Linked DNA regions of Alligator mississippiensis. The protein of the gene in region 1 purifies or fractionates together with the protein of each later gene. This does not show direct contact. Links are inferred from orthologs where the notes say so. Each region holds a gene or a part of one and is shown on either strand. Other genes may lie near its edges.

Evidence for each region.
Region 2: the proteins of GRB2 (region 1) and DNM3 purify together in Homo sapiens (affinity purification with mass spectrometry; 5 studies listed by BioGRID and IntAct, counting the BioPlex papers as one, with this or other methods). This does not show direct contact. The link is inferred for Alligator mississippiensis from reciprocal best matches to the Homo sapiens genes GRB2 and DNM3.
Region 3: the proteins of GRB2 (region 1) and DOCK5 purify together in Homo sapiens (co-immunoprecipitation; 4 studies listed by BioGRID and IntAct, counting the BioPlex papers as one, with this or other methods). This does not show direct contact. The link is inferred for Alligator mississippiensis from reciprocal best matches to the Homo sapiens genes GRB2 and DOCK5.
Region 4: the proteins of GRB2 (region 1) and ARHGEF5 purify together in Homo sapiens (affinity purification with mass spectrometry; 4 studies listed by BioGRID and IntAct, with this or other methods). This does not show direct contact. The link is inferred for Alligator mississippiensis from reciprocal best matches to the Homo sapiens genes GRB2 and ARHGEF5.

What each region holds. Positions count from the first base shown.
Region 1 is NC_081831.1:12,480,661-12,488,343, reverse strand, and holds the start of GRB2 (growth factor receptor-bound protein 2), read left to right. Parts: upstream 1-4,677; 5' UTR 4,678-4,788; intron 4,789-7,683. UniProt on the Homo sapiens protein: Non-enzymatic adapter protein that plays a pivotal role in precisely regulated signaling cascades from cell surface receptors to cellular responses, including signaling transduction and gene expression.
Region 2 is NC_081828.1:44,901,556-44,908,646, reverse strand, and holds the start of DNM3 (dynamin-3), read left to right. Parts: upstream 1-4,084; 5' UTR 4,085-4,122; coding exon 4,123-4,268; intron 4,269-7,091. UniProt on the Homo sapiens protein: Microtubule-associated force-producing protein involved in producing microtubule bundles and able to bind and hydrolyze GTP. Most probably involved in vesicular trafficking processes, in particular endocytosis.
Region 3 is NC_081830.1:22,943,908-22,950,790, reverse strand, and holds the start of DOCK5 (dedicator of cytokinesis protein 5), read right to left. Parts: upstream 3,008-6,883; 5' UTR 2,859-3,007; coding exon 2,816-2,858; intron 1-2,815. UniProt on the Homo sapiens protein: Guanine nucleotide exchange factor (GEF) for Rho and Rac. GEF proteins activate small GTPases by exchanging bound GDP for free GTP. Along with DOCK1, mediates CRK/CRKL regulation of epithelial and endothelial cell spreading and migration on type IV collagen.
Region 4 is NC_081827.1:140,187,539-140,195,557, forward strand, and holds the start of ARHGEF5 (rho guanine nucleotide exchange factor 5), read left to right. Parts: upstream 1-5,012; 5' UTR 5,013-5,656; coding exon 5,657-5,821; intron 5,822-8,019. UniProt on the Homo sapiens protein: Guanine nucleotide exchange factor which activates Rho GTPases. Strongly activates RHOA. Also strongly activates RHOB, weakly activates RHOC and RHOG and shows no effect on RHOD, RHOV, RHOQ or RAC1.

The DNA.
Region 1 (7,683 bases):
TGACCTAGTGTTTAGATTGTGATATTTCCATTCAGATTGTTAAATTCAGAAATGGAGATATAATCTCCTGGCCTGAGATGGACACACAGACACTATCTAACAAATATCAGTGACATATAAGGGGTTCAAAATCCATTTTCCTAAATGGCTATTTCCAGAACAGTTTTGCTTAGTTTTAAAATCAGACTAGGACTGCTCTGACTGCAGCCTCACATGTTCTACCTGAAGGATCAGACAACCCCTATGGGAGCTTTCTGCTTCTTTCATCACTGCCAGTAAAAACTCTGCCGCAACAACCTTGTCAAGAATTTTGCTGATAGTACAAGAGGTAGAACAGATTAGTTTGCTCTTTCATAACCAAAACAGATCCATGGGCCTAAAACCTTGTGTTTGGCTATAGAGAGTGTAAATATTAATCAGAGGCAGAAAAATGTTATATACACTATACTGTATTATATACTATAATATAGACTATAAATATTATATATAAGGGTGTATACATAATAAAATTATATATTTCTGACCACAACTAATTTTAATTGCAATACTTTTCACAGCAATGGCAGGCAAAAAAATCCTAGTTGCTGTTCTGTTTAGGGTGGAGGTTTCTGGGCTCTCGTTCAAGCGCTGACACTCCTGGACTAGCTTCCAACAGTCTTTGAAGTTTTACAAGTTGCCATATCTCAACACAAGGGAGCAAGAGGTCACTTCTCCATTATTTTGAAAGAGAAGAAACATGGAGCCTGAATGTTTTCCTAGTTAGTTTTAACCTGTCATATCAGTGCTCCAAGGAAGTATATTTATTGCACTTGCAGCACTGAAGCAGTGGCAAAACTTGGGGGGGCATCTACTGGCTGTCTCCTACGGTATGCTGTGGAAACTCACCCAAAAAATGGGTGTATTAAGAAAGGCCCTAAGCTAAGTCTTTACTTGCTGCAATGCTAGAAATTCTCACTTTCTCAATCACAAAGAGTAGGCGTTCTGACTCATAGTATAGAAGACACTGCATCAGTTGTCATCCAAGTGACCAGAATCATTGCATTACATTGTACGGTAACTGCATGTAAAATCATTAGCTTCTATTACCTGAGCTGAAGAACAAGTTCAAAGATCGCAGCAGACACAAATCACAATCTGTGGCCTAGCGCCTAGCGAGGGTCAAAGCCACACTGGGCTACACTGGTCTGCAATTGTTATCTTTTGAAGTGTGGTACTCAGAAGCATTTCTCAGACATTTAGCGAGATCAGGGCAAACGTGGTGTCAAGATTGCATGAGTACTCTCACAGTGGCTTGTGTCTTCAGTCATACTGTATCAATATAAATCCTACGCCACTGTTACATTTTATGGCATTAATAACAGTTTTGACTTTGATCAGTAACATTGTGTAGATACAAACATTCAAAGCAGACATTTTAAACCTTCAATAGCTGTTCATACAAAATATGTTGCAAGTCGTCTTCCAACCTATTCATAGCAAAGAACCACACATTGAATTTCATACTTCAGACTGCTCCAGGACATTTAAAAAGGGGCCCAAAAGGAAATGTCAGACACTAGAAAAATTTTACTCACTTGCCACTGCTTAAAATAGTTGGAACTAATCTTAGATTTCACTTTACAACCACAAATGGCCAAAGAAAATTCAAACTATTCATACACTACAATAAGGATTTGAAATCAATCCTCAGACTCAAAACACAGACTCTTTGTAGCCTTTTTTTTTAAATCCCTGCTAAAGTTGTGTATCAGGATTTAAATTTCTATGATAGCAGGACTTTCATCCCACCATATTTCTAAGAAAATACATAGTTATTTTGTTAAACATTAATTGATTTGTATACAGCCTAAAGATATGTATTTAATTAGTCCGTAATAATAACACCCCAGTAACTTCTATAAACTCTTTGCTCCCAAACAACTCATCAAAAGGTTTGCTCTCTCATATAAGATTTATTTCCCAGTATGGTGACTTTAAAAGGCAGTTTCAAATAAGCAAAGTCAGTCAAGCAGCTGCAACTTTAAAGCAGCTATTTTACAACTGACAGCTGTTGTCTATATCTATCTTTTTTTCCAGACCAGCTAGTAAGTACCTGCTATATACTTTTTCCTTTGCTTAAACTGATATGGCCCTTCTCATGTGGTTTCTTAAGAATTCCCAAATTGTCCCTCTGAATACACAAAACCAGAGACCCTAGTGTCTGCTGCAGTGGCTAGCCCTGGGGACTGAGACCTCGGGGTCTTGAATTCTATTTCTCATGCTGGCACTGAGTCACTATGGGATCTTGGATGCGTCACTTAACTTCTTTGTCTGCCATATGTAGAATAGATGATAATTACTGCATCATTTCCAACATCCTCAGCCCCCTTAACACTCTTTTCTCCCACCCTCACTCGATTTTTGAATAATTCAGAGGTGAAACAGCATGTGTAGTAGTGGGAGGGTGTGAATCTTACCCCAACCAAGACGAAAGTAAAACCTGTGAAGCATAGTGTTATTATGTGCAGGAAATTATCTTGCTGATAATGGAAGGTAGAAAACTTAATTTCCAAACAGCTTTAGAAAAGAAAATGTATCCAACGGTTCTGACACTTAGAGCTGACACATTAGCAAACCAGATCTTTACAAATGCCCGAATCAGGGGAGAACCCTGCATGAGCCATTAGTGGAGGGGTAGGCAATGTTTTTTGACCAGAGTGCTGAAAAAAACACAATGTCTACCTTGGAAGGTGCTGAAGTGCCAACATGCTGGAGCCTGGAGCAGCTATTTACAGCCTCCCAGCTGCAGCCGGCCCATGGAGCCCATTCTGCTTGCAGCAGGGCTTGCAGCCTCCCAGCCACCTGCTGGGAGCAGCCTGGGCTCCGTGGCTGACAGCAGCTGCTTAGAGCCCAGGCTGGCAGTGGTGTGCTGAGCAAAATGGCCTTGCGTGCCATGCATGCCAAAGGTTGCTGACCCCTGCATTAGTGGAATCATCATGTCTTTAAGAAATATATTTTGATACAGGGCTGCTCCTGCTGCATAGATTTTTTTTTCCTACAATGGTCATGGAGAGGCTAACTGACCTATTGATATAAATGGCCACTGTTGTTCAGTCTCGTTATAAATTAAGAATAAGTGATTTCAGACGAATGATGCTCAAACTTTTGGCCCTGCAGACCAGACATGGAAATTTGCCCCTGGTCTGGATCCTGCAGATGGGGTCCAGAATGCTCCCCCAGCACCAAATGTCTGGACCAGGGCTGGCCCGTCCTATCCTGCAAAACCTGCTTCCACAGGGGGCCCAGCAGCCGAGGGGCCCCCTGCATCTGGCCACCCCTGGCTTCTTCGGCCGCTTGCCACCCCTTCCCCTGCTGACGCTGGCTTCTTTGCATCGGGGACCCCAAAACTATATTTTGCAGGGGGGCCCAAAAATTGTGGACCGGTCCTGGTCTGGATCCAGTGGGCAGGAAGTTGAACACTGCTTTACATGGCAATAAATTAAAATGCTTTGCAATTCCCATGAGTGACAGGCCTGAGTCACCTCTTATATACAGACTATCTGGGTAAGCCTAGATCTGAACTTTGCAACTGAGTCTCATCTCTAATTAACACAATATATACGCTTCCTACACTCCACATTCACAGACCTGACATGGCTAAAAAGTCCTCTATAATTGGCCTGTCGTTAATAACTACCCCCAAGAAGCCAACTGATAAGAGCCTGTGGGCTGTGACATCCTTTAGGCACCAGAATCCTGGGAGTGGGTGGGTAGCCATAGAAAAAGCTTCTATTTTTGAAATCAGCCTTCTTATTGGAAAGCAAGATTAAGAGTTACTCTTTAAATAGGCCTTGGCTTCATCAAGGAATCAGAGCCAGATGTTTACCTAGGAAACCACTTGAGATTATATTGTAATTACTTTTAAGAATAGTTAAAGGAATGTCAGGGGGGTCAGAGCCAAGCTCGCTCTCAAAAAAGGAAATACTAGAATTACAGTTGCTCACGAAACCTTAATTCTCCCCTCTGCGCACACACATAAGCAAACAGTCTGTAATTACACAGACGTAAAAGCATCCACTAAGTTTGGATGCCCAGCTCGAGGCACCTGGGGCATTATTATTCAGAGCCCTTAATGCGTATGTAGCACTTTCAGGATTCAAAGCATTGCACCTATATTAACTATTTAATCTTCTGAGCATTCCTGGGACCTGGCTAGAAAAAGAGAGGAGGAAAAAGGGCAGGGACTTGCCCAGAGCTCTCTATCCACAGCTACAAGCTTCCCCTGCTTCACCAAATCAAGTTGGTCCTCCAGGGCTTTCACAACCTAGATGTGTTTCAGCTGTCGGTTTGCACCCATTTCTCAGCTTCTCATGTGAGCAGTGTTCTCAGGAAGGCTCCTCCCTTTCTCTTTTCATCCCTCCTCCCTGAGCATGCTCAAATGACACCTGCACCCGCCTCCCCAGCCCACCCTGGACATCCCTCGTGCCCGCAGACGAAGGACGCTTCAGGCGACTAAACCCACCATAAAGCCCCCTGTGCCAACCCGCTCGGTCCCACGCATGCGCACTGGCAGTGTCAGGAGCCGACTGGCGAGGCCGCGCCTGCGCCCGGCGCACACTCCCTGGGGGCTCAGACTACGCATGCGCGTGGGCGGGGCGCGCGGCCCTGACAGCGCGAGGCCTGTCGGGCGGTGCTTCTCGCGAGACTTGGCGGTAGCGGAAGCCAGGCGGCGGCGGCGGCGGGAGGGGCAGCCGGGAGAGGCAGCGTCACGGGGCCGCTCGGAGCGGAGCGGAGCTCCAGCGCCACACGGTGAGGGCGGGCCGGGCCGGGCCGGGCGGGCCGGGACAGGACCTGGGGGCAGCGCGGGGCCGCTCCACGGGTGGGGCCGGGCGCTGCGCCCCGGGGCCGGGGGGGGCCTTTGTGCCGCGCGTCCTGGTGGAGCTCCGCTCCTCGCCTCGCGGGACCGGGAGGTGGCACCTGAGCAGAGGCCTGGGGGGTGGGCCGGGCTGAGCTGGGCCGGGCCGGGCCGGGGCGTGCACAGGCAGGGCGACGGGGTCTCCGGCTCCGCACTTCGGGGGCCCCTTGGGTTCAGCCCCGTTAGCTGTGCAAACACGAGTCAACCGTGCCCAGACTTCAGACCCGCATCCCAGTGGGTGACCCACGCTTTGCCCTGCTGCGGGCTCTCCGAGGCCTCTCGTCCTGCAGTCCAAACAAGAGCGAAACTCCTCTTCTGGGGACTGCTTTGGGTGTGAAAGGGTTGAGAAGCACCGAGGTGTCGTTCCTCCCTCTCTCCACCCCGCACGTTCCCCTTTTTCTGATGTAAGCCATTACGTTTATAATAGTGTATAGATGCTTATGTGCTTGTGTGATAAACGCGATTCGTGTGATAAACCTGGGGACTCTGAATAAGAAGCCACAGCCTTAAAAAAACAACTCCCCCCCCCCCCCCCCATCTTGACCTGATGTGATCTTTCTGTGTTCATTGCAACAGAAGAATTGCTCTAGTGTTTTCCCCATAGTCAAAAATGGAGTGAAAACCAAGAGCTGGCATTTTCCAAGGGCCGCCTGGAGCCTGACAAAGGGTGCCTTGAGTCTAAAAAGGTTAAGGACCGCTGATTTGGAGCCAGGGAATACTGTTTGGAAAATCAGGGTTAGGAAACACTTCTCCTTTCTTTTATGAATAAATTGCTACCCATATTCGCTTGCTCCTAAGTTAACTTCTTGGCATCCAATACTTTGCCCAAAACAAATGGTCTTTGGGTTATTTTTTTATCGTCTCTTAAGAAGGTGACATCATCTTGCATTAAAGCCTTTCACAATAGTAGCAGATTCCGAAATAGAACTCTTGTATTAGATTTTAAAAAGTCATTCCCGTATGAAAGAAAGTGGCAGCTAGAAAGTAGCGGTCTTGGTAAAACCAAAGCAGTTGTTCCCTGATAAGGTGATCGTGTTCCTAACAAGGCCTGGCCAAAGAATATTGAATATTGGGAAACACCCCAGAGGCTGAAAGTCTGGTGTTGATTGTTTCTTGACTTGTTTTTGAGCCAGCCACATTTGGCCCAGTGGAAGTACAAAATGAAGGATGAGAATTGCGGAATTGTTGATAGGTTGGGGTATAATTTCTGATTCTGGCTGTCCCTGTTTTTACTTGTTTTCAAGTTGAATTTGCACCATGCTATACATGCTGTACTCACTTACATAGGCAGCTCGGACCAGTGCATGGGCTTGCTACATTGACTTCTTTCAGTCTGCCTTCCTTTGTTTGCAGCCCCTCTTATTTTTGTCTTCCAGATGACAAAACCTATGCTGTTCATTGGAACACGGGATGCACTCCTCACTGCCACTGAACCTTTCTTTCTTCTGTTACTCCCACCCTCCAAAGCTATCTGTTCTTCTCTTTCTGCCCTTGCCTCTCTTTTTCCAGGACAGCAAGAGTGCAGAGTTAAATCAAGAGAGCCCTCATTTACTGATGGAAGCCATATCAAAATAGTCTTCATCCCCTGTGTATTTGTGAAATCTCAGGAAAAGGGGTCATAGGAATTGTGATTTATGGTGGACAGCAGGAGCTGGTGCATTACAAATACTTGCATTCTGTCTCAAATTTAAACTCTGTGCTATTAAATGAAAAGTTACCCAGGTTGTGCACTTGGTGCTTTCTTCTTTTCCCCTCCCATTGTTTTTTGTTTGTTTTTTTTTAAACAAGTGAACACCATGCATTAAACTGAATGTGAGAGTTAAGAACCATACCAGTTTCTTCTGAGATATCTTAGTTGCTTCTCTAGTCAATCCTTCATTCTTGTAACCTGTATTCTTATTTTGGGTGTGTGTATCTTACCTTATCTGTCTGCCTGGAGAGTTAAAATATACTCTGTAAAATGGCCTCTTTAATTGCTGTACCAGTCTTAATCTGAAATAAGTACTTGCAACTTCACTTAGAGTGGGCAGTGTGGCAAAGGACTAGCACAAGCCACTTCCTACGCAAGACAGACTTTCTCACTGTACTGGGTTTATTTTTTCTTTTGAATTATTTTCCCGATTCAGTTTGTTTGTCAAAGGTGTTTGGCAGTCCCACTTCCTTAATTAGGTTGTTTACCTGTGCTGCTATGTGTTTTTTGTTGTGCAAGATATTACCAACAATACACTGTACTGATAAGAGTAGTACATAGCTAAAGCTTTCTGAGCAGTTTAAATTGTATGATACATGTTCCTGATTTTGTTTTCCTTTCCTTAGCTGACATCAGCTATATAATAATTTAAATAGAAATATGTATGTGTGTATGTAGCCTGGATACCTGAACTTCAGTGACATTTTGCCAACAATTAAGAATGTTACATAGCAAAAGCTTGCTCTCCTAGGCAAGTATTGCTAATTAGTGTGGTTACCTAAAAACCTAATTCTTTTAAGTACTGAAGATCAAAATAAAGGTGGTGTCTTTGCGCTTGTTAGATTTAAATAAATCTCTACAAAGACTGTCTTTTCATCTTGTACCTTGTGAAAAAAGTTGTTTGCTTGGTAGGAAACTTGCTAGTTCAGGGTATCAGCAAAATGGTTCTTGGAAACATTGCACTATCTTTTTTTTCTAAGAACCTTGTGTTTTTACATTTTGTAACAGAGTTTTCCCCTATACTACACAAGCACCTTGAGCAATGATGTACCTCCAGGAAATATTTACTCATAGGTTTTGTATCTTTTGTTTAAAAAAT
Region 2 (7,091 bases), on another chromosome or scaffold:
ATTTTTCATACCTTAACTCATTTTCTGTTTTGAGAAGCTGCCAGGGTCAGTTCAGAAGTTTCACGTTAAAAATATTTTGTACCAGTTTCCACTGAGGGAGAATCACTTCCAGTTTCAAATAATGGCAATTTTACTGTTTCTCTTCTGAAAACTTCCTGTCAAAATCTACCTGTGCTTTACATTTTTGTGGTGTAATGTTATTTTGGGGGGGGGGGGGGGGGGAGAGAAATCAAAGGACATTGGCCAATCTATCAAAAAGAAGCCATATATAACTTTCTAAATGTAACTTGGGTGTACACAGGTTTGTACTCCCCTCTCCAATTGGAGGGAATTATTGGCAGGGCAGGGTGCTGTGGAGGGACACAGGAGACTAGTGGCCGCCTCTGTCCCCTATGGAGTCAGACCCAGTCAAATCAATTACTTAACAAATTTGTATATAGTTATTACAATAAAACCATTAAGGGTAAGGACATATGTTTGTAACCCGGGCGGTACTCCAAGATGTACCCCCTCTCCAATTGAAGGGATCAGAGCAGGTGCACAAGCATTGTGGGAGGTGTAGGGATCCTCCTTCCCCTATAGAGCAAAGCCAGATTACCAATGGGGACTTAACCATATACCTTTTAATGAGAAAAACAGTAGTGGGAACATAACATGTGTAAACCAGGGGGTATAGGGAACACTACAACACCCCGAGGGGGCAGGATTCAATAGAAGTTAGGCACTTACAATCCTAGACATATTCTTCCAGTTGACAAAAAGACAGGTTTAACAAAATATAAAAACGCAAACAGCAGAACAAACAATACTGGTTGGCAAAATATAAGAGGCACAAGATACAAAATGACAAACAACAAGAAATATAGGGGCTAGGTACCTGGAGGGGGGGGGGGGGGGGGAAAGAGGGAAAACACAATGACCCCCTTCCACTGCAACAAGAATTTCTCCCTGTCATTTCACCTCATTTATCCTAACTAGGACTTGAACTCAGAGCTCTCACATACTATGCAGAAACTCTACCACACAGCCACCAGTGCTAGTATTGCTGCAAACTGCTGGGGGTTTTGACTTTCCAAGAGCCCCTGCCTCACATCAAGCTTTCTTGCCTCTTGCTGGAGAAGCTGGAAGCAAAGCTGGGAACCTCTCAAGTCACTACTCAGCTTCTTGCTGGAGCTGGGAAACCTCTCCTGCTGGCCACAGCCTCTCATAGGGGGATCCTAGAGCCCAGTGGGGAGCCTCTCCTGCCAGCTACACACCGTGCCTCTGAGGGTCCAACTGCTGCCTGCAGGTCCCACTCCTTCAGGTGCTTCTGGGGCAACTGCTCCTGCCCCGCTAGCCCAGCTCTTGCCAGCTCTTTGAAACTCCTTCCTCCTGTTCCCTTGCTGGTCTCCAAGTCGGCTGCACTGCCCCTTTTATCCCCCTCCAGGTGACCCGAGGGGCCAAATCAGGGGACATGGAAGGTGAATCTCTGGGGCCCGATTGATGAGGAAAGGGAATCCAAAGCCCTCCAATCATCTTTTACCCTTTCAAAACCCCTGGGCCAAATCATTACCAGGTAGCCCATCACATGTACACATTTACAAAACAATTAACCTTATACCATATACACACATTATTCAAAAATACAAGTGAACAACAGAACAACCCAGAACAAAGGATATTGATTGGGCAACTTTATAACTCTATTAATATACAAACTATTACTTCAACTTATTCACATAAACTACAAGGCACAGGCTACATATATAACAAGCAACCCTTAGACTACCTGGGTGCCCTCCAGGGCAGGGGCCCCACTCCCAAGGTATCACTACAGGAAAGGAGATGGAAGGAAAGAAAAGGAGAGGGAGACCCCAAAGACTCCTAAGCTCCCCCTGCTATCATCCAGGAGCAGCCCGTGAGGTGGCCCTTCACAACCCTGGGGGTCCCTCCCCTGTGGGAACCCTCTCTCCAGGGTTACTTACTACTCCACAGTCCCGGAGGGTTGCCTCCTGTTCTCCAGGTTGAGCTCTGTTCCTGCTGGGTTTTCCTGCCGCCTGACTACTGTCACTGGCCTGGCTTAGGGCCACATGCACTGCTGTGTGTAGCGGGCGCTTTACCTCATACTAGGGGTTGGAGGCCTGGGCAGCCTTGTGCAGCACCAGGGCTTGGTCTGCTCCTGGACCATCTGTGCAGCGTTGTCTGCACTTAGCTCCCAGTCTCATGTGGAGTTTGAGGACCTGAGCTGCTCAAGTGGCTCCAAAGATCCTGCTCCATACCCCAGCCTGTGCACCATCTCTGGCTGCACGCCAAAGGTTGCAGACCCGAGCCACTTCATGCAGCTGCCAGGATCTGGATGCCGTGCTGCGCCCCGAGAACCTAACCACTGGAGCCATCTGCAGCTCCCGGCTGATAGAAGTTTTCAGGGGCTACTGCTATACCCTGCTGAGCAGCTCTCCTCAGCTCTTCTAAGCCCCGCCCTTCTCTGTCCCTAATGCATCTCCCCCCTGCTGGAGGCACAGCTCCTTTTATACCCTCCAGGGCTCTGCCCCTGAAGTCTTCTGAGCCTGACAGTGTTGCAGTCTCCAATCAGGTCCAGGGGAGCTCTTCTCTCCCTCCCATCAGGAAAGGCATGTGACTTCACTTCTCTTACTGCCTCCTGATTGGTGGATGGGCTCCACCAATCAAAACAGCAGGATCTCAAACCTGGGACTCAGCCCAAGCTCTGAAAGGTAAGCCTGCTACATAAATTTTAAATATATATATATTTTTTTATCAAGACAAGTGAATACAGCTGACCGGCTTTAACTGCATAGACCAATGCCTGATGCATAGACTTAGAGGCCTGATGCCTTTGAGGATGTAGGTTGTAGCTATGTTGGTTTAAGGACATAGGCAGACAAGGTTCTTAATCTTTGGGTAAATGTGATATCTTTTATTAGACCAACTAAACAGTTGGAAAAATTAATTGACCTGCCCTCCTCACTCCAGACCTGCTTTAGAAGCCTGGCAGCAGCCAGCTTCAAGACGATGCAGTTCAGAGGAGCACAGGGATGTTAGAGTGGAGGTAGCAGGCCCAGGAGATACCTGATGCTTGTGGTGGTCTGAGTGGTTTTGGCAGTTCTCATGATATTGAGCAAGTCAGGGGTGAAGGGAAGCACTAGGCTCTCAGTAATTCTCTGGCCCTCCTGGCTGTAGAGCAACATGCTCCTTTGGGACTCAGCTTCCCCCTCAAGGCTGAGATGTGAAGCCTTGAAGGCAAAGCAAACAAGCCTAAAAATCACATGCACACGCTTGCACGCCTCTGCAGACTTCGAAAGAAGCCCCCAAAGTGGAAGAAAAGCCTCACTTCCCCTCTGTCCTCAGAAACACAGGCCCCCTCCCCTTGTCCCCCAGCCCCCCCACCTGCTTTCCCTACTGTCCCCAGGTGCAGGGCCAGATTAATCCTTTACTGGGCCCTAGGCAAACAAATGTGTGGGTCCCAAGCTGGTTGAGACCCCCTTCCCCACCCTGGTGCTGCTGCCACGGGGAGTGGGTGGGGCTCAGCTGCTGTGGGGAGGCTGGCAGAGGGGAGGGGGAGGGAAGGGAAGGGAGGAGAGGTGGACAGGGCCACCACCTTGGAGGGAAGGGCCAGTCCCCCTCAGCTCAGGGCTCTAGGTCCGTGCCTAGTTTGCCTGTGTGTTAATCCAGCCCTGCCCAGGTGGGGAAAGCTTCAGAGCTGCTCCTTCCCCGTCCAGGAGGACTTGTGTGGGGCTGGGCTAAGACGAAGAGAGAGACGGGGGCGGACGCCTCTGAGCGAGGCAGGGGGACGCTCATCTGCTTCGGGAACTTTACAACGGCGTAGGGCTCGTGCCCGCAGGGCAGGACAGGGCTGCAGCTGGGGGCGCACCCCCTTTGCCAAATTCTGCATCCGCCCCTGCTGCGGGGGGCGGGTCTTCTCCAGGACTCCTGGATGCCCCACGGGGCTTCTATCACTCGCAGGCGCCACGTCCCCGCCCCAGGCAGCCTCCGGCAGCCGGGACAACACGGGGGGCGTGGCAGGGGCGTGTCCCGGTCGCCCCGCCCCGCCCCGCCCCGCCCCCGGGGTGCGGCGCGCACTGCGCAGGCGTGCGGCGCAGACCGTTACCTGGCGGCGGCGCGGGGATGGAGGGGCTGATCGGGCTAGTGAACCGGCTGCAGGACGCCTTCGCGGCGCTGGGCCAGAGCTGCCTGCTCGATCTGCCGCAGATCGCCGTGGTGGGCGGGCAGAGCGCCGGCAAGAGCTCCGTGCTCGAGAACTGCGTCTCCAGGTGAGGGCGAGGGCGGCTTCGCCGCTGCTGCTGCTCGGAGCCCCCGCCCCGCCCCGCCCCGCCCCGCAGCGCCCGGCACCTTTGGGCGGCTGCGGCTTGTCCAAGGGCAGGCGTGCGGGCAACGGGTGTGTGCGTGTGTATGCCAGAGGGTGTGTGTGCATGCGCGTGTGTCAAAGGGGGTGGGGGATATCGAAGGGGGATGTGTGTGTGTGCGTGTGTGTGTGTGAAGGAGGGGGTGTGTTGAAGGGTGTGTGCGTGCGCATACATGTGTTTCAAGCCTCCCAGTTAATGCAGGTTTGTTGCCAGGCTGCAGAGGAGGAGGCTGCCCGCCGCGACCAGGGATGCTCCATCACCCCCGTAAACAACCCCCTCTCCTCCTCTTCTCCCACCCCCTGTTTTTGGTAGTGGTGGGTCCCCTCCACACAGGTGTTGAGCAGCATCCTGGGTTTCCAGTGTGGCTGGTGTAGCAGAGAGATTCAAGCAGTGAGTGGAGGGTGGTTGGGTTTTGGGTTGTTTTTTTTTTTGCTGTGGCAGCTAAGACAGATGTTGGGGACCAGATGTGTAGTGTTCCAGTGACACCAGCGACTTCATGGATAAAGTCTGAGGCTGGGCTGTGACTTTGCTTTCTCGTGTGGTTTCCACTGCACATGCAGGAGGGTGGCATCGCCTTTCCCTTTCCTTCCTTCTGAGAAGCAGACAGGGCTCCTGTCTCACTAAAGTGCTTAGTAATGGGGATTCCATTGGATGTTGGGAAATGTGACAGTGCTGCTACATTCATCAAGGGTATGTCTTGTATTCAAAGAGGCTGACATCTCTTTGGAAGGCGGATATAACATGCAGCTCTGCTAAGCTGTTTGCTCAAAATGTGTATGGAGAGCACACTTTTTAACATGCCCTGGGAAAACTAGCATTGTTTACAGGATATCAATACCATTTTATGCTAGGATGGTTTGCAGTAATCTCTCTGGGGAAATATAACAGTGGAAGAGCTGACTGTAAATATCACCAAGGTTTCTGTTTTTTGCTGATTAATTGATTGGACTTAAAAGTGATCCAACTACTGTGGCTTGGCTGGATTGAGCTCCTTGATAGCAATTGCAGTAGACAGCACTTTGCAACAAATACAGTGGTGGCTTTATACTACAGCAGTCTGAATTCATAGAAATGTTGAATAGAATTTCTCTGCTCCATTCTTTGCACTTAGGCAGGATCAGTTCCTTACGCATTTTTTTTTTTTTTTTTTTTTTGCTTTTAATTTTTTCAAATTTTCAGCAGAGATGGTGTACCTGTGCAAGTAGAAAAACCCTCTGTCTGCCTCTAATGCACTTGTATGACAATTACAGTAGGGTCATCTTTCATCAATTGGAAATTAAGATATTTTGGTCTCCACAGCAGGGGCTGCTGCTAGAGGACCCAAGGGGCTTTGAGCTTTATTAGGTTAGGCCAGAGATGAGCAAAATGGTGGATCCGGCTGGTGGCCAGACTCCATTTCCCAGCAGCTCCTGTCTGTGTCGCAGCTAGTTTCCATGAAGACCCCAGGAATAGCGGGGCTGTGACACTGCGGGGCCAGGGTTTCCATGGAGACTGGCCCCAGCAGCACTGTCAGGACACACGGCTGGAGGGGGAGCTGCTCCGGGGCAGGGGTTGGGATGTTGCAGTGATGAAACATGGTCCAGAGATGGGGCAGAGCCATGATCTGCTGCCTGCACACCCCTGCCGTGCGCCCTGCCAGCACTTCTGCGTCCAGTCTCCATGGAAACCCTGGTCTTTCACTATCATGGCTCTGCTGCTCCTGGGGTCTCGAGGGAAACCCACTTCAGCAATGCAGGCAGGGGCTTCTGGGAAATAAGAGTCCACTGTGAGCTGGATCTGGCCTGTGGACTGGACTTTGCCCGCTGCTGGGTTAGGTGCTTCACAGATGCAGTGTAAGAGAGAGTCCTTGCCTCAAAGAGCTTGCAGCATAGCGCAAAACACAGCAGTGAATTGGATGTGGGAGTCAGACTTCTCATACCCTTGTCAGAGAGGAGCTAACTCAGTAACTTGGAGATGGGAACAATTTTTGAAGCACAGGTCAGCAGGAATTAAATTGCTTTACCTGCAGATCAGCCATCTATAGCTACTATAATTTGGGTGTCTCTGGGCAGTGCTGTTCCCAAAAATGTTAAAAAGAGACTTTTTAAGAATGAGAGTTTCCTTTCTGGGAGTACGACATTTATTTAGTCAAGTTCTGAGGTTTTGGAGCTGATGCAAGTAGGTTCTTACACTCTGGATATACAGGCAAAAGCTCTTACACCTTGTTAAAATGCCAGCTGTTATTAAGTGAAATAGGTAAAATCTTAACATACATACATGAGTAGAGCACATTCTCATTGCAATCTCACTTATGTTTTGCTCTGTATAGAATTATTTCAGTTATTATTCTACTCTTAATGTGTTTTTTCTTTCTTTTTTTCATTCTTATGGGTCATCAACAGATTTTGAACCCACAACCTTTGTCTCCAGGTACCATTTCCAATTCAGTTCTATAGCTGTAACAAGTGGCTGGAAAGCATCTTGTTATCCTGTGTGGAGGAGGCCCTGCAGGGGAAATGCAACATACACATCACATTACCAGTAGATCACATAAGTATTGGTGGGAAAAAGATTTAACTTTAGACATTGGGATACTTGTTTATTCATCCTGGTACTGGGCATATGTTATGATATAGTGTTTACAGAAGGCAGAAACAAAGAGAAGAAAGCATCTATTTCAGGCATTTCTGGGACTGAATGAGGGATCAGTGGACGTAAAAGTGAGTTTCCACCACTTGGCCAAAGGAACCA
Region 3 (6,883 bases), on another chromosome or scaffold:
AAAGCCTTTTTAAGATTGGTGAGGTGGCAATCCTGGGCGTTCTCTTCAGTACAAATGCGGTGGTATCTGAGGGCTTGGCTGTATATCACAGCTTTTTTGATGTGTTTAGGGTGATTGCTGGTTCTGTGCAGATATGTATGTTGGTCTGTGGGTTTCCTGTATACTGTGGTCTGTATTTTACCCTTCTGGATACTGATCATTGTGTCTAAAAAGGAGATGTCGGTGCTGGAGTATTCTAAAGAAAGTCGGATGGAGGGATGGTGGCTGTTGAATTTCTGATGGAACTCCATCAGAGATTGCAGGTTCTCAGTCCAAATGATGAAGATGTCATGGATGTATCTTAAGTATAGCAAGGGTTTGATGGTGCAGTTCTTGAGGAAGTCTTCTTCCAGGTGGCTCATAAAAAGGTTGGCATACTGTGGGGCCATTTTAGTGCCCATAGCTGTTCCCATCATCTGGAGGAAGTGTTGATTATTAAAAGTGAAATTGTTGTGTGTGAGGATGAAGTGTATAAGGTCAGTAATATCTTTGGGTCTGTATTCTGAGTTGTAATCTTGTTCCTGTAGATATGTAAGGCAGGCTTAGATGCCATCCTGGTGTGGGATGTTGGTATATAGGCTGGTAGCGTCCATGGTGGCTAGGAGTGTGTTGCTGGGAAGGTGGTCTATCCTGCAGACACTTACATGCTTACCTTTACTAGCAGGAACAGCTCCCATGGTAGTAATATTAAGCATGTGCTTTAACTTGAGGATTGGGGCCTAAGTGCAAAGCACTTAATGCATGCCTTTGTAATATTAGGTATGCAAATATAAAGCCTAACAAAAATAACTCATTAACACAAAGTACAAGCACCAACCATTCACTTACTGAAGTTATTTACTGTAGCAATCCAGTTAAATATGCTTGTAAAATAGATGAAAAACAACCATTATGAACTACAATAAGAACTGGACTACATACCCAAGTAAGGAAATTAGCATCTCCTTTATATAACTGTGCATGCAGGAATAACTGGGTATCACACACTTGCTTACTCCTGTTTGGCTGGGAATGCTCAGAACACAGACCTTTGGTTCCTATACAGGCCAGCACCTTGTATGCAGCAGGGACATCATAGCCTGTTGCTGATAAAGCCCAGCAGCAAATTACTAATCCCGGAAACCAGGAAGAATTATGATCAGAGGAGTGTCTCTGTGAGTCACGTTGCTGCCCAAGGCTACTTTTGATAGTACTGTCTTAGTCAGAGTCATGTCTAAAAATCAAAGCTGTCTCAAAATTGGCATTAGGTTTAAGGTGTTTAACCTACCCTTACTATGATAAGGAGCTGCAAGTCTCAAGGCAGACAGCACTTAAGAAGCAACCCCTGCAATTTGTACAAATTCCTGTGCCACCAATGAAAATAAAACTCCGCAGCACAGTGTATATGTTGTCACTAGTGGAGGAAACAAAGTTCAGAGAACATAACATTACACACCCTGAAAGTAGTCAAGAAAGCAAGCAGATAAGACTGTGCTGCCTGTAATAACTTTGTTAAGACACGGAGCTGCACTTCAGCTCTAATCCTACAAAGAAGCTGCAAATGCGTAGATCCCAGGACCCACATGAAGTTTTTATGAAGTTAAGGGGTTATTACAGGGGTTTAGGTTCTTTATTCTCTGAGGATTGGGGCCTTGATCCCTTTTGAGATAACTGTAACAAAGAGAAATTCAGTAGTGCTTCACACTTTGCAAATGCTTCCCCATTTCAAAATGTTTCCCAGGGAGAAGAACGACAGGGACAGATCAGTTCTCCTTAAGAGTTTGTTCCTGTGAGAAATGTTCTCCTCTTCTGTGCTCTACAGAGCATCTTCCAGACAGCCTCAGGATCTTGTGGTTTTCAATTTGTCATACGTCCAAAAATAAAAAAAAGGGAACTTACTGAGCACAAGGTCTGAGACAAGGCTCTGACTAGGAGGTAGGAAATTAGTGTTTGAAGATCTTTTAAATGACAACAAACTGGCAGGGTTTTTGGTTGTAGCCATGTTGGTCTAAGAACATAGGCAGGCAAGGTGATCTCTTTTATTAGACCAACCAAACAGTTGGGGAAAAAAGTTCTTTGCAAGCTTTCGGGTACAAACACCCAGGGCAGGTAATAAAAGCTGTTGGAGCTCATTCCCTGCCATTCACTCTTTTATTGCATTCTCCCCAGGAGCATCACAGACACCGATTCTCCTCCTATTAATCCCTGGGGAGCTATTAACCCTGCAGCAGTTACTGCCCAAACTGCATCTCTCACCCAAACGTCTCTCCGGAGCGCCCCCTCCCCCGTTTCAAGCAGACCAAAAAAAGTGAACAAGCACCACAAAAAACCCCGAAGAGATGGGTCCCAAGACCGCAAACTTGGGGAATGACAAAAACCAAAGCCGCATGAACCAAATCATGCAGACCTTAGGCTGTCTCCCCACCCTGCGGCTCGACGCCAAATCAAAGTCCCAGTGAATATTTGTAGTGCAGACCTGGGGGCAAAAAGGATGGGGGGTCACAGAGGTATCACTGCAAAAAGAAGTCAAGAGGGAACAAATCAAACCTTGCTGAAGGGGGACAGAGGAAATTACATTATAATGCGGGGGGTGCAGGGGGCATCTGGACCTGGCGAGCAGGGGGAGAAGGAGACGTCCCCGAAGGGCTGAGGACGAGGGACTCGTGCGTAGTTCCTGGGGGCACGGGCCCGTGTTGGGGCAGGGGCAGGAGGAGGGAGACGGGGCCGAGAGCACGGGGGGGGGAGGAGGGGACTATGCCGGGATGGAGAGGGTGCCCAGGGGACGGCGCTCACTCACCGACCCCGTACTTCTCGCGCTTGGTGGGGATCCAGCGGGCCATGCCGGCGGCCCGGCCCGGCCCGGGGCAGCGCCTCAGCGCCCGTCTGCCCGCGGCGGCGTCGGTCGAGGCGCCCCGGGCTGCTCCGCCATGTTCGGGGCCGGCGCCGGGGCCCCGCTACTAACTCGCGGGACCAGGCAACTTTCCTGCCTCCCGCGGCCGCCCAGAACAGCAGCAGGAGGAGAAGGGAGAGGGAGGAGGAAGCGCCTCGCCCCGCCCCGCCCCGCCCCGCCTCGCCGGGGTTACCTTGGCTGCCCCGCCTACGAGGCGATTTGCTGCGGCCCAGCCCGACTCGCCTCGCCTCGCCTCGCCTCGCCTCACGTTTGGCGCCCCTGGGGGCGGCGGGCCTCCGAGTCGCCGTGCTCCGGTGCCTGCAGGGGGGCGGGGCGCAGCCACTGACACCGTCCGCGACGGCGCTCCCGGCCCCTGACCGCGCGGGTCGCCGGGCACCAGGCTGCCGCGTCCTCCACTCGGGACGTGGGCGAGCCAGGGGCGCAGGGCAGGGAGCCACCCGGGGCCCCACACGCGTGGTGGCAGCGCAGCCCCAGCCCCTTCCCGGAGGAGCGAGTGCCTTGTGCCATTGGCACGAGGGCCAGGGGTTGCCTCCCTTACTGTACACCTCGCCCCGCGGTTCAGGTCGGCGTGGCGCTGAGATGAGGATCTAAGAGTAGGCTGAGAGAAACCTCTTCAGTTATCCACACAGGAACCTAGCAGGAAACCCTATGAATAATCCCAATCCACTCATGGGGCTACCCACCATGGTTGAAATTTAACACAGGCATGTATGTTTGCAGGGCCCAGGCCTATTTTTTATACCTGCATTAGGAGATGATTCATATCTGTGAAGCATGAATGAAAGACTTTTTCTTCTCAGAAGTGTGTTTCTATTTTAGAGATCTTGTGCAGAGAGCTGCATGGCAGTACGCTCCTTTGTAGACTTATTATTATTGTTGCGGTTGTTATTTTTAAACTACGAATAGGAGCAAATAGACTGCATTTTGTTAGATTTGTTAGTGGGTTTTTTAAATCTATTCCAAGCCATCCTCACTATTTTATGCATGAAAACTCCCAGCGGTGCTTCTATTTTTAGATGCAAGTAATTATTGCTTATTCCAGCAGAAAATGGAAGACTATAAGTAATTTGAATGCATAAATTAAACAGTAGCCTAGGCAATATATTGTAGGAAACAACCCTGCACATTCTCGGAGGAATCATGAATGTGGGATCTTAGCAGGACTTTTCAGTTTCCAGTGTATCCGATCGATCATCAAAATCTTTCAGAGGATGGCTCCATTACTGTGATTCCATTTTTACTGCACACGTGTTGTTCTCCTCCTGCAAAGCAAACCGTTTCATCCACACTCTTTAGTTCTTTCAACAACAAAAAAACCTGGCAAACCCAAAAAAACAATTTTTGGTTAAAATATTCATACTTTCATACTTAAAATTGGACACCTAAAACTAGGATTCTCAAAAAGGATGAAGGGATTTATGCAATGATTAAGAGATTTAGGTACCTAAATCCCAAATGGAAGTCAATAGGGTTTGGGCACCTAACTCCCTTAGAATCTTGCAACTATCAGCTTACACCCATATTTAGGCTCCTACTTAAGTGGCCTGATTCTTAAAAGTACAAACTGTTCATAACTCCCTTGGAAGTCTAGGAGTTATGATTCCTCAGACTTTTGAAAATCCAGGCATACGTTTACTTACTTAAGCATGTGTAATTACCTACATTTTGAGCACATGAGTCTGCAAATGTTGGCACTAAACTTGTCTTCTTCAACCAGTTCTTCAAGGCACAGCCATCTGTCCCTCTGTGCAGGTATTTACTGCGATGGGATCATGATCTTGACTGAAGCCTCAAGGTGCTAGAGTAACAAAAATAACAATAAATACTACTTTGCCCCTTCTCCCATACCCCATTCTCCATGTGACAACAACACTTTTTCTGTAATAGCTATTTCCAGTACTAGTAATGTACACTTTGCTGTACAGTGTATTTTTCTTTAAGTATGCCTGGTCGTCTGGGCTAAGAATATGTGGTTTATGGGCTTGTCCCAGACATGGGAAGTTAGTCATTTTGTTGTGGGATGCACTGTAATGTTACACCCAAGTTTCTTCAGACCAGCCAGGCTGATTGCTAAGTTGATGACTTGAATTTGTTCCCAAAAGCTGCTCACAACTGGTTTCTGATGTCGTACTTCCATTCTTAGGAGCATAGGCATGAAAGGGAATTCCTGCATCAACTGCCCCAGTCCTCTGTTTCACTGCAGCCACGTTGTATAATCCCTTTGATAAACTGAGGGGGATTTGGGGGTGATATAAAGCTGGCATAGTCTGATCTGTGCCACTTGTTTTCCTCTCCCCTGGAAAGCAGCTGTACAGTCCTGAGCAAGACTAAGCATCTGTCCCACGGTTAGTCTTTTCGGAGTGTTCAGCTGTCATCAGTGCTTCAGGCTACACATTCTTGCCTTTGGTGTAATGACTTGAATTTGTGCAAACATTCACATTTAGTTTAAATACTCCTCCCTAGGACACGCCAATAACAGGAAATGTCTGCTTTTTTCTGAATGAGACGGGTCTGTTTCTTATCACACTGATTACACTTATCTTTGAGGTGATTTTCTATGATGTCAGAATACAGAAGGAAGTGATACAGCTTCAGAAATATCTTATGGACAACATTCAAGCTTGGAGGCAGAGTATTAAAAAAGATGGCACCCCTTAAGACATAAATGGTTAGATTCTCAATAGAGATGTAGACTCCAGGACCGTATCCACACAAGCGTGGACATTTGTTTCCCCAGGGAATGCCTGTGCCAGGAGCCCTCTGGGGTGTGGCAGGCTAACTTGGATGGAGGAGGGGAGGCTGGAGCCAGCAGCCCTACCTGGGGTCAACCCCCCTATGCTGCTACCTTGCAGCACAAAGAATAGTTGAATGTGCAGAATGTGGCGACGCACATGTTTGCAGCGCCACATACTGCATGGCAGCGCTCATTTGGACGCATTTGAATATGTGATCCTTATTTAGGTGCCTAATTGGGAGCTGGGTTTTTGTTTCTTTAACCTGGGCCTCAAATAAGTACAGTCAAAAGGCCTGAGGCTGAATCGATTCAATCTTTGCAGAGTAGTCTAAGCTGCATGAGGTTGAACCAATAAGGAAGTGAACCAACATTTACTTTTGATTCCAGAAATTCAGCCACATGTCTGGAGTGGCTCAGGCTAGAAGCTGAAGGCAACAGAGCACACATCCCTGCTCAGGTGAGATGGACAGCCTGGGCCAAGGCTAGCCTACCCATCCTGCAAGCTGGGGTTTGCAGGGGAAGTGCAAAGCATCCTGGGATGCTGGGGGACTGAGAGTTAACTTGAGTCTGGAGGGGATATGGGACAGAAGTTCAATAAAAGCATTTAACCGAAATCAGTTATGTCTGATACTACATCCATCCAGGTTTATCTTAACTGGATTCAGCCATTCTGAAAGTGGTTTATGTGCACTGAACTTCTGTTGTGTTACAGATTTAAACTGGTTTCCAATCACTTATACCAGTTTGTGTGTAATTTCTGTCCCTAGCCCAAAAGTACTGGGCTTTCAATCCTTTACTACTATATAGTTTTGTAGATGTGTGTGACAGTACTGAATTGACACAGTCCCTGTGTTGGTGTCATAAATATTGCAACAATTACAAATATTTCTGCAAAATGTTTATGGTTCTGCATTTTAGAAACGAGCTAGCTGAGCCTTGCTTCTCTTTTCCAGTCCAGGGCATGAACGTTCTTGGCATCAAATGAAAAGCAAAGCAAAACAAGACTGATGAACAAGCACTAACTAGAGGGGCTGGTTTTATTATTGTTGGAGGGAAAGTCAGTGAATGATTTATTAAAATGTAAGGATTTATCAGGTCAGTACTGCACAAGTAAACAATGTTAGGTACATTTCATCACTCAATATGGTTTCTATTTAGGCAAGTGACTGTGTTCATGTAGCAGCTTCTTACTCAATATTTTGTCTTCAGTAATATCTGCT
Region 4 (8,019 bases), on another chromosome or scaffold:
GTTCTCCAGTAGATTGATTTGTGACAAGGGAACCAAATGAATGAATGAAAAGCAAATTCCAAATGAGATTCAGGAGCTGAGGACAGAATCACCAGGGCAATTCACTACAGAAAAAGATTAACGGACCCTTATGGGCTAAAATCAAAAGCCAAGCTTCTCATGCTCAAATGCACCAAATTGTGGCAAGGAGAGTATTTTCACATCTGCACACTGCCATAGTGGGGAGAGATGTTACTGAGGTAGGAGTAATCTTACAGGTGGTGACAGAGCCTGAGCCTAGGACATAAGCTAAGCGTAGTCTTCAGCCAAGAATGTCATAGGTTCTTGATGTTGGAAAGGACCTTGTGCGGGCCGAGCCCCGATCCCATCCTCGTCACCATGTGTGGGCCGAGCCCCGATCCCATCCTCATCGCCATGTGTGGGCCGAGCCCCAATCCCACCTTTGTCGCCATGTGCGGCGGCAATTCCGATCTCATTCCCGTCGCCATGTGCAAGCCGGGGGTGAGCCGGGCCCGTCTTCATGCACGCGGGCTGTGGCCAGCAGCCCGGGCACGTGGGGTTGGAGAGAACCGGCGGCGCGGTTTGCTACACACGAGCTAGAATTAGTTACGGAGGCGTAATGGTTGATTGAAAAGATTGTTTACTTACACCCAAAGATGGTATTGGTGTAGGCTGGATAGGTTTCCAGGCACAGCTCCCGCTTAGATCCTCGCTAGAGGACCACGACAAATCGATTGCTCCCATGGAGTCATTCAAGCTCCGCGGGTCCGGTTCGAGGTTCGAAAAGTTCCCCGGAGTTGTTTAGGCTCCGCGGGTCCGAAGTTACAGGAAAGGGATACGTCTGGGATTGTGATTGGCAACGGGGAGAGGCTAGAAACGAAAGCTCTGTCGGTTCGGTTCTATTGCCTCTATTGCCTGCTTAGGGGAGGCGCGTTGGGTCCGCAAGGGTCCGCAGTGCTTGGAGATCTTCACACAGAATCTCTCTCGTCCTCCCTCCTCCAGCTTGGGTGGAAACTACCCAAGCCTTTTGTACGGCTAGCAAGCCAATTGCTAGCCGCCACATGTGCCTACATTAGGAATTGGCCAATAATGTGGCGCAAATCCGAATACAAATGGCGGGAACTCCTTTGCAGCGTGTATCACTATGTTGCAAAAGAAATGCACCCTGCAAAGAAGCTGTAATTTGGTGGGAAATCCCCTGTTGCACCAGAGTTCTCTCTCGCAGCAGAGAACTCTACCGTGCAAAGAAAGCGACAAATAGCGGGAAATAATTTAGTGGTGCCGAAGCGCGCACACAAACAAAAATCACAACTTTGGGTTGTGACAGACCTCAAGGGCTCTCTGGTACAGCAGCCCCCTGTATATGTGCAGAATGCACTGTTGTTAAACTACTGGAGACTGATGCCCATCCAGCTTCTTTGTCAAGGAAGGAGCTTCTACAGCTTGCTTGTGCAATTTAAAAATGGATACCTACAGTTAAGATTCACAGTCCCTTGACAGGCCCCCAAATGAAATGGAATGGCAGTGTTGCTAATGCTTGTGATTTTATCACAAATACTGCAATAGCTGGTGTTCGTCCTAAAGTCCAAGGTGATTATGTAAGAATCTCAGCTTTGTTATAGAAAGGGGGAGAAGAGTAAATTTCTAGCCTTCTTATTTCCAGAGAACAATCTTGACTGTGGAACCTAAGTTTAAAACCTTAAGGCAAACCTTAACAGGTTTTTAAAATCTCATGCTTCTGTGTGGCCCAAGTTATAATTTCTAAAAACTTGGGGAGGCAATAGTGCAACTATTGTTGAAAGTCACTTATTTGGGGGCCTCAATATGGACTTGTTTCAGGTGCCCATTTTGATAAATCTTGCCTTTTGATTGCAGTTGTTCAAAGTAAATAATGTGTATACAAAAGAGGTAGCAAAAGAAAACTATTGAGGCATTCAATAGCCTGGAACACTATAAGGCCTCCATCAGAAATTCTCAATCAGCATGCTATGGCATCCTGGAGAGCCACGCTGTTAAGGGTCCTGTGCAATATTAGTACTGTTAGGTGTACAACCACCTACTCACAATTTGCAAGATAAACTCAGAGATTTCAAATAGGAACCTGTAGTGAGAAAAACATTCTGACCTATTGTGGTCTTTTTGAGATCTTTTCAAAAGAAGAATTGCTCCAGTGCTTTGCCATTGTCAAAACATGAGTGAAAGCTAAGAACTGGCATTTTCCAAGGGGTGTTTTGAGGCCAAAAAGGTTGAAACCCACTGGCTTAAACTGTCCTACATCATAGTGATGTCTGCCAAAGTTTTGCTACCAAAATGCACCCACCAGGTCAAATCTGATGAGCTCTGAGAAAATAGTGGACTAATTTTAGCATTTTGTTTAAATGCAGGTTTTTTCTTCAAGTGCTCACACCAAATGACAGGATTAGTGATAAGATCACTGTAACACAACAAAATATGGTACATATGGATGAAGACCCAAAAAGACTGGACTAAAATCATCAAAGCCAACAACTATGACCTTCTGTGAAGAGCCTGCCTACTGTTTAATTCAGCATATACGCAGCACCAGACACTGACACAGCAAACACAGGTAACACACTCCTGAACTTGAAGAGCTCGGGATCCAGTCAAGTCAAGACAGATGCAGATAACAGGACCTAAAAGAAGAGCTCAGGAGGGCGGGTGAAAGAATCTTGGATGGAGAAAGGATTGTTACAGGTGTAATAATGCTCAGCATTTGTATAGCACTTTCAAACTGCTGCCTGGACATTTACTAATTGTCTTCACTGCAATAATCTCTGTGAAGTAGGTAAGTAAATATTATTTCCCTCATTTTACAGATGTCTTTGAGGCAGAAAGCCAAAGTGACTACCTGAGGCCAGGGAGCGGAGGGGAATGGGCTCATCTCCCACAGATCACAGGGCTTCAAGTATATTTCTGATCACAGCCCTCAATATTTAGCCATGCAGTGCAAACCCCAAGAGTGGACAGGTACAGGTGGACTTTTCCCCAATGAGGTAGGCCCCTGACTAGAACATAAGTGAGCTGCGGCCATGCAAATCCCAGCTCATAACTATTTACAGATCACAGGGCTTCAAGTATATTTCTGATCACAGCCCTCAATATTTAGCCATGCAGTGCAAACCCCAAGAGTGGACAGGTACAGGTGGACTTTTCCCCAATGAGGTAGGTCCCTGACTAGAACATAAGTGAGCTGCGGCCATGCAAATCCCAGCTCATAACTATTTACCATAGGGGCTTGGCTAGGGAGCTAATCACAAGAGCACACACAGCCTAATTCTATTGGGGCTGGTGGCAGGGTGCTTGCAGTGAAAGGCTCTAGAACCTGGGGTTCATTTCTCCCATTAGTTCAATAGAAGCTGTTCTGGCCTCTGTGGCTGTCCGTGGTGCCCATCAGTTTCTTTGCTTCTAGTAGATGCAGTTGGGTATGGTATCCACTCCAGCAAGTCTGAAAATCATCTCTGGGGTATCTCATGATGGACCCCTTACAGTCCACAGCCACGTCTGGAAATCTCACATGCCGTGTGCAGTGGTAGCGTGGTTACAGTGGGCAACTGGAAGTCAAAGCTCCTGGATACAGCTTTCGGACGCTGCTTGGCTGTGCAGCATGTGGCAAAGCATGAGCAGAAGAATTTCCAAGGGGTTCCAGTTGGGTGGTCTGCAGAGGCTTGGCTATCCAGCTGTGCATGCTCAGGAGCAAAGGGGATTTTCAAAGCAAAAGACAGGGAAAGCAAGACCTGCTCATCACTCAGCCCTTGAAGAGTGTTAGAAGTGGGTTGGGGAGCACCAGTTAGTTTTGAGATCACTTGCTGATTTGCATTGCAAAACCCTGGTGTCAACTGCTTATACATTTACAAGCTGTAACAAGAGTGATCAGCATCTCAAACATTATCTCAAGATATGAACACAAGGTGAGCAAATTTCAGGCGGTATGGAGAACTCCAGTGCTGGTATTTGCCTCACTTCTGAGCACCTAGCTTTTCAGTTTTAATAATAATCTTTGGATCTTGCAATTTGGTGTATAACTGAAGGTAGAGGAGGAAAGGACAGAGCAGTGAAGCTGGTTGCTGAAAATTGTCATGAAGCTGGATACACACAAGGAAGAAGACTGAGCTCTAATCCTCATTTGTATCCAAGATTAATGGGTTTTTGTAAACTGAGGTCTCTGTGACTGCCCTGGAAGAGTTAGTCAAACTGGAGAGGGCTGTTAGGGAAAGGCATTTATACTCCACTGTCCTATAAAGCAATTTGCAAATTGAACCTTTGTCTGGGCTCCTCTGCTTCGCAAGTGATGCAGTGCATGGATTAGCTGAAATAGATACTCCTAGCCTATATTATTCTTATCTGTATGGCTTGTGCCATGCAGGCGGTCAGAATGGATGATCTCAATGGCCCTGGTGCTCCTTGCCACCTGTGAATTGGTAGGCTGGGCTGTGTGTTCTCATAGCTTACAAGCTGTGTCCACATGTGGAGATACATGGTTTGGCAGCAGCATTACCACACGTGTGCCTTTCTTATCTTTTGGTGTTCTTGGCTGTAGCAAAGCAGAAATTTCCTCAAGCTGGAAGAATGTGGTTTTTGCCATTCACAACAAAGCTAGCAAAGCAGTTCTGTTCACATCCATTCAGGGCATGGGTGCGATATGATCTGCCAGCGCCTGCCTGTTTCATAATGACAGCGTGTTTCCATTGACTGCTGCTCTGTCTTGTTCATGTTTGAAGCTAAGAGTGGTTTAGTGGCTTTGTCATAGCAAGGTTTGTGTCATTGCTTCTCTGCCAATTTTATGTTTGGCTTAGATCTCCTGCTGCAAGCATTGGCTCCACAGAGGGTGATATTGAGCAAAGGGAGCCAGCTGTGGGCAGTTAGGCAGTATCTGTGTTCAGGTAACAAAGCAGACAGAGATCGGAGGACTCTTGCTATTTTTTTGTAGCATTGCTTTTTTCTTCCAGTGTCTCAGCAGGACTGTTGTCTCATTTTCTTCTCCTGTCTGCTATGAGGGAGCAGCCTCATTCATTTTATTTTCTGCATCCTGTCGTACTCACAAACCAGGCTCCCCTCCTCTTGTGGATGGTAAGGAACTTGTATCCTGCCAAGAGATGGAGCCCCTCTTCACTGCCCCTCTCCATGGGGAAGATCCTCTCTCTCCTCTTCCTCGTCATTCCCTAACAGCAGAAGGGAGAGACTCTCCTTCATTCCTTCTTCCTCACCGATGGCTGCCTTCTTTGCTTTTTCCCTCAGCTGTTGTGAGGATATGACTCCTCTTTCTTTTTCCCTCCTCCCCCAGCTAAGCAGAGTGGCTCTTTCCATCCCTTTCCTTCCTCTTCTGCATACTCTGATCGTTTTCCTCCAGGTCAGTCTTCCTCTGTCTGCAGTCGCCTCTGGTGCTCTCTGCTTTCCCACGCCAAAGTAAAACGTACCAGATTCAGTTCTGTGTTGCTGTCTGCTGTGGTCTGAGCACAGTGAAGCAGTCCAGAGCCTGCCAAGTCTCGTTGAGGAATGTGATGGGCTGCAGGAGCTGTGTTCCAGAGACGCTCAGTGAGTGTAAGGAGGGATGTAATTCTGCAGTTTCATCACTGCTTAGACTGCTGCAAGCAGCGGTAGGGGAAATGAATCAAGCCTGGTAGCCTTCGCTCTGCCGATGCCTGCACTCACCAAGGAAAAGCTCCAATTCATCGCTGGAGAATTCCTTTTTCAAGCCTTGCGTGTGCTGATGTTGGACCGTGGCTGCCCCTCTGCTGAGTCCTTCATCTTTCCTCAGGCCTGTGTTGAAACCTCTTTGTATGAAGACTGTGTCAGAAGGCAGGTAAAAGAAACTCTCTGCTTTCAGCTATAGCATTAGTCACCATGACTGTTAATTGCCCAATTCTGTGATTTCCTGCCAGCGCCCTGAAGTGGTGAGCACTGGTGACCTAAGGCTTGTAGCCCTATTCTCCACTCCTCTTGTTTCCCCTTTTGGCCTAAGAAGCTGGAGGAAACAGATTTTTTTAGATATCCGGTTAGTCTCCTCCTGGTATAAATCACAGCAACTTTAAGGCTGTTCTAGTTTATGCTCTGGCTCGAGGTCCTTTGTGGGCTTATCAGACTATCCCCAGCACACACCTGTTTGGGGACACAAAAGAAAGAAATAGAGCCATCCCAATGGGTCCATCCTGTCCAGGAGAATCCATTTACCTAGATGTGGTCTCTGGCCTAGTTTGTGGTGTGCTTACAGTACTTGGATGGGATAAAGAGGCCACAAACCAATCAAGAATTAAATCGTACATCTTTAAAGGATGGCATAGAATAATTCAGCCTTTATAATCACTCAACTAAACTCTCAAGAGACCCATGCAGACTTACCCTTTTAGGCTTCCTCTGAGTTAAGCCACCTTGTAGGATTATGCCCTTTCAGGGGGAATGCCAGAGTTGATGGTGGGATTGGGTCCCCTCCTACAGAGACTGTGAAAGGTATGTGGCATGGTTTCCCTGGCACACAGCTGGCAGAGCTGATGGCAATGTTGAGCAATGACAGTCTCCTTGGGCATAACTCAGTTCCTTTTGAAATGTTAGCAGGTTTGAAGTCTAAGCTGTATGTATACTTTACAATGGACTGATAAATCACTTCATGCTTAGAACACGACATGAGCTGATTTAGGTGACCATAACTAGTAGGGCAAAAATGACCATTATGTAAAATTCAGGCTCCCTCCAGCACTGTTTTTCTGCCCACTTTCTAGTAGGAAGGTGCTGCTTCATTTAAACTGTTTGCCATCATCACTAGCAAGGTTTTTGTACTAGGACTTTCATGTGCTGAATTTATGCTACTTAAATTAACATTTGGTGCACATGAACGCCGTGTGTCCTTGGAGGCTGGGGGAGCATGGCGAGCTTCTGCAGGCAGCTGCTGTGCTGTCAGGGCGGGAGGGTGGGAGGAGGCAGGGTTCGTGAGTGCGTCGTGAGTGTGGACTGGCAGTCAGCAACCACCTGCAGATGCCTCTGGCAGTGTTGGCAGCGAAGGAGGGGGTGGCAAGCAGCAACTGCCCGCAGGCGCCACTGGCAGTGTCAGCAGTGCCTTTTTTGCAGGGTGTGCACCGCCATGCTGAGGGGGTGCACATGCATCCATGTGCACCCCCTATGTGTCGCCAATGGTGCTGGAGCCTAACAATAGCTGGGCATGTCTACAGGTTGCTGTGCCTTAGTACTTTCAAAAGGAAGTTGTTTTAGAAGTACTAAAGCATGGCACAATACTGGCTGTTACTGCACTGTGCGCACACACAGGTAAGTTTCCCGGCTACGTCACCATAGTGGTGCACTATACTGGGGGAGCACACCACTACGGCGACATAGCTGGCTATCATGTGTAGACCCATGTGATTGCTACTATGGTGCTACGTCACCATAGGGCAACGTGTAGACTCGCTTATTGAGCCCCTGCTTCATTCATTAAAGGGAAGAGCAGTTGAGGGTGCCTCAGCATCTTTGCAGGATGGGGCCATAAGCATGCAGACGTTAGAAAATATCCACAAATAACAGACCAAGGAGCAATGGTCTCAAGTCGCAGCAAGGGAAGTTTAATTTAGATATTAGAAAAAACTTTCTCACTAGGAGAAGCAGTGGAACAGGTTACCCAGAGAGGTTGTGAAATCTCCATCCTTGGAGGTTTTTAAGACCTGGCTAGACAAAGCCTTGGCTGGGATGGGGATGGTCCTGCTTTGAGCAGGGGGTTGGACTAGATGCCCTCCTGCGATCCCTTCCAACCCTCATTTTCTATGATTCTGTGAAATACTTAGCTTTGCCAGATGGAGCTGATGCTAGAATGTCATTAGCACTACGGGGATCACAGAATTGTCTTTCTGCTTCCTATTTGTTACCAATAGGACAGGGGTGGGCAATTATTTTGGGTGGAGGGCTGCTTACTGAGTTTTGGCAAGCCATCGAGGGCCGCATGACAGGCAGCCAGGGGCAGATAAATATTAATTTTCTAAATTTTTCAGGGGCCCCGTGGGCTGGATAGAATGGCAT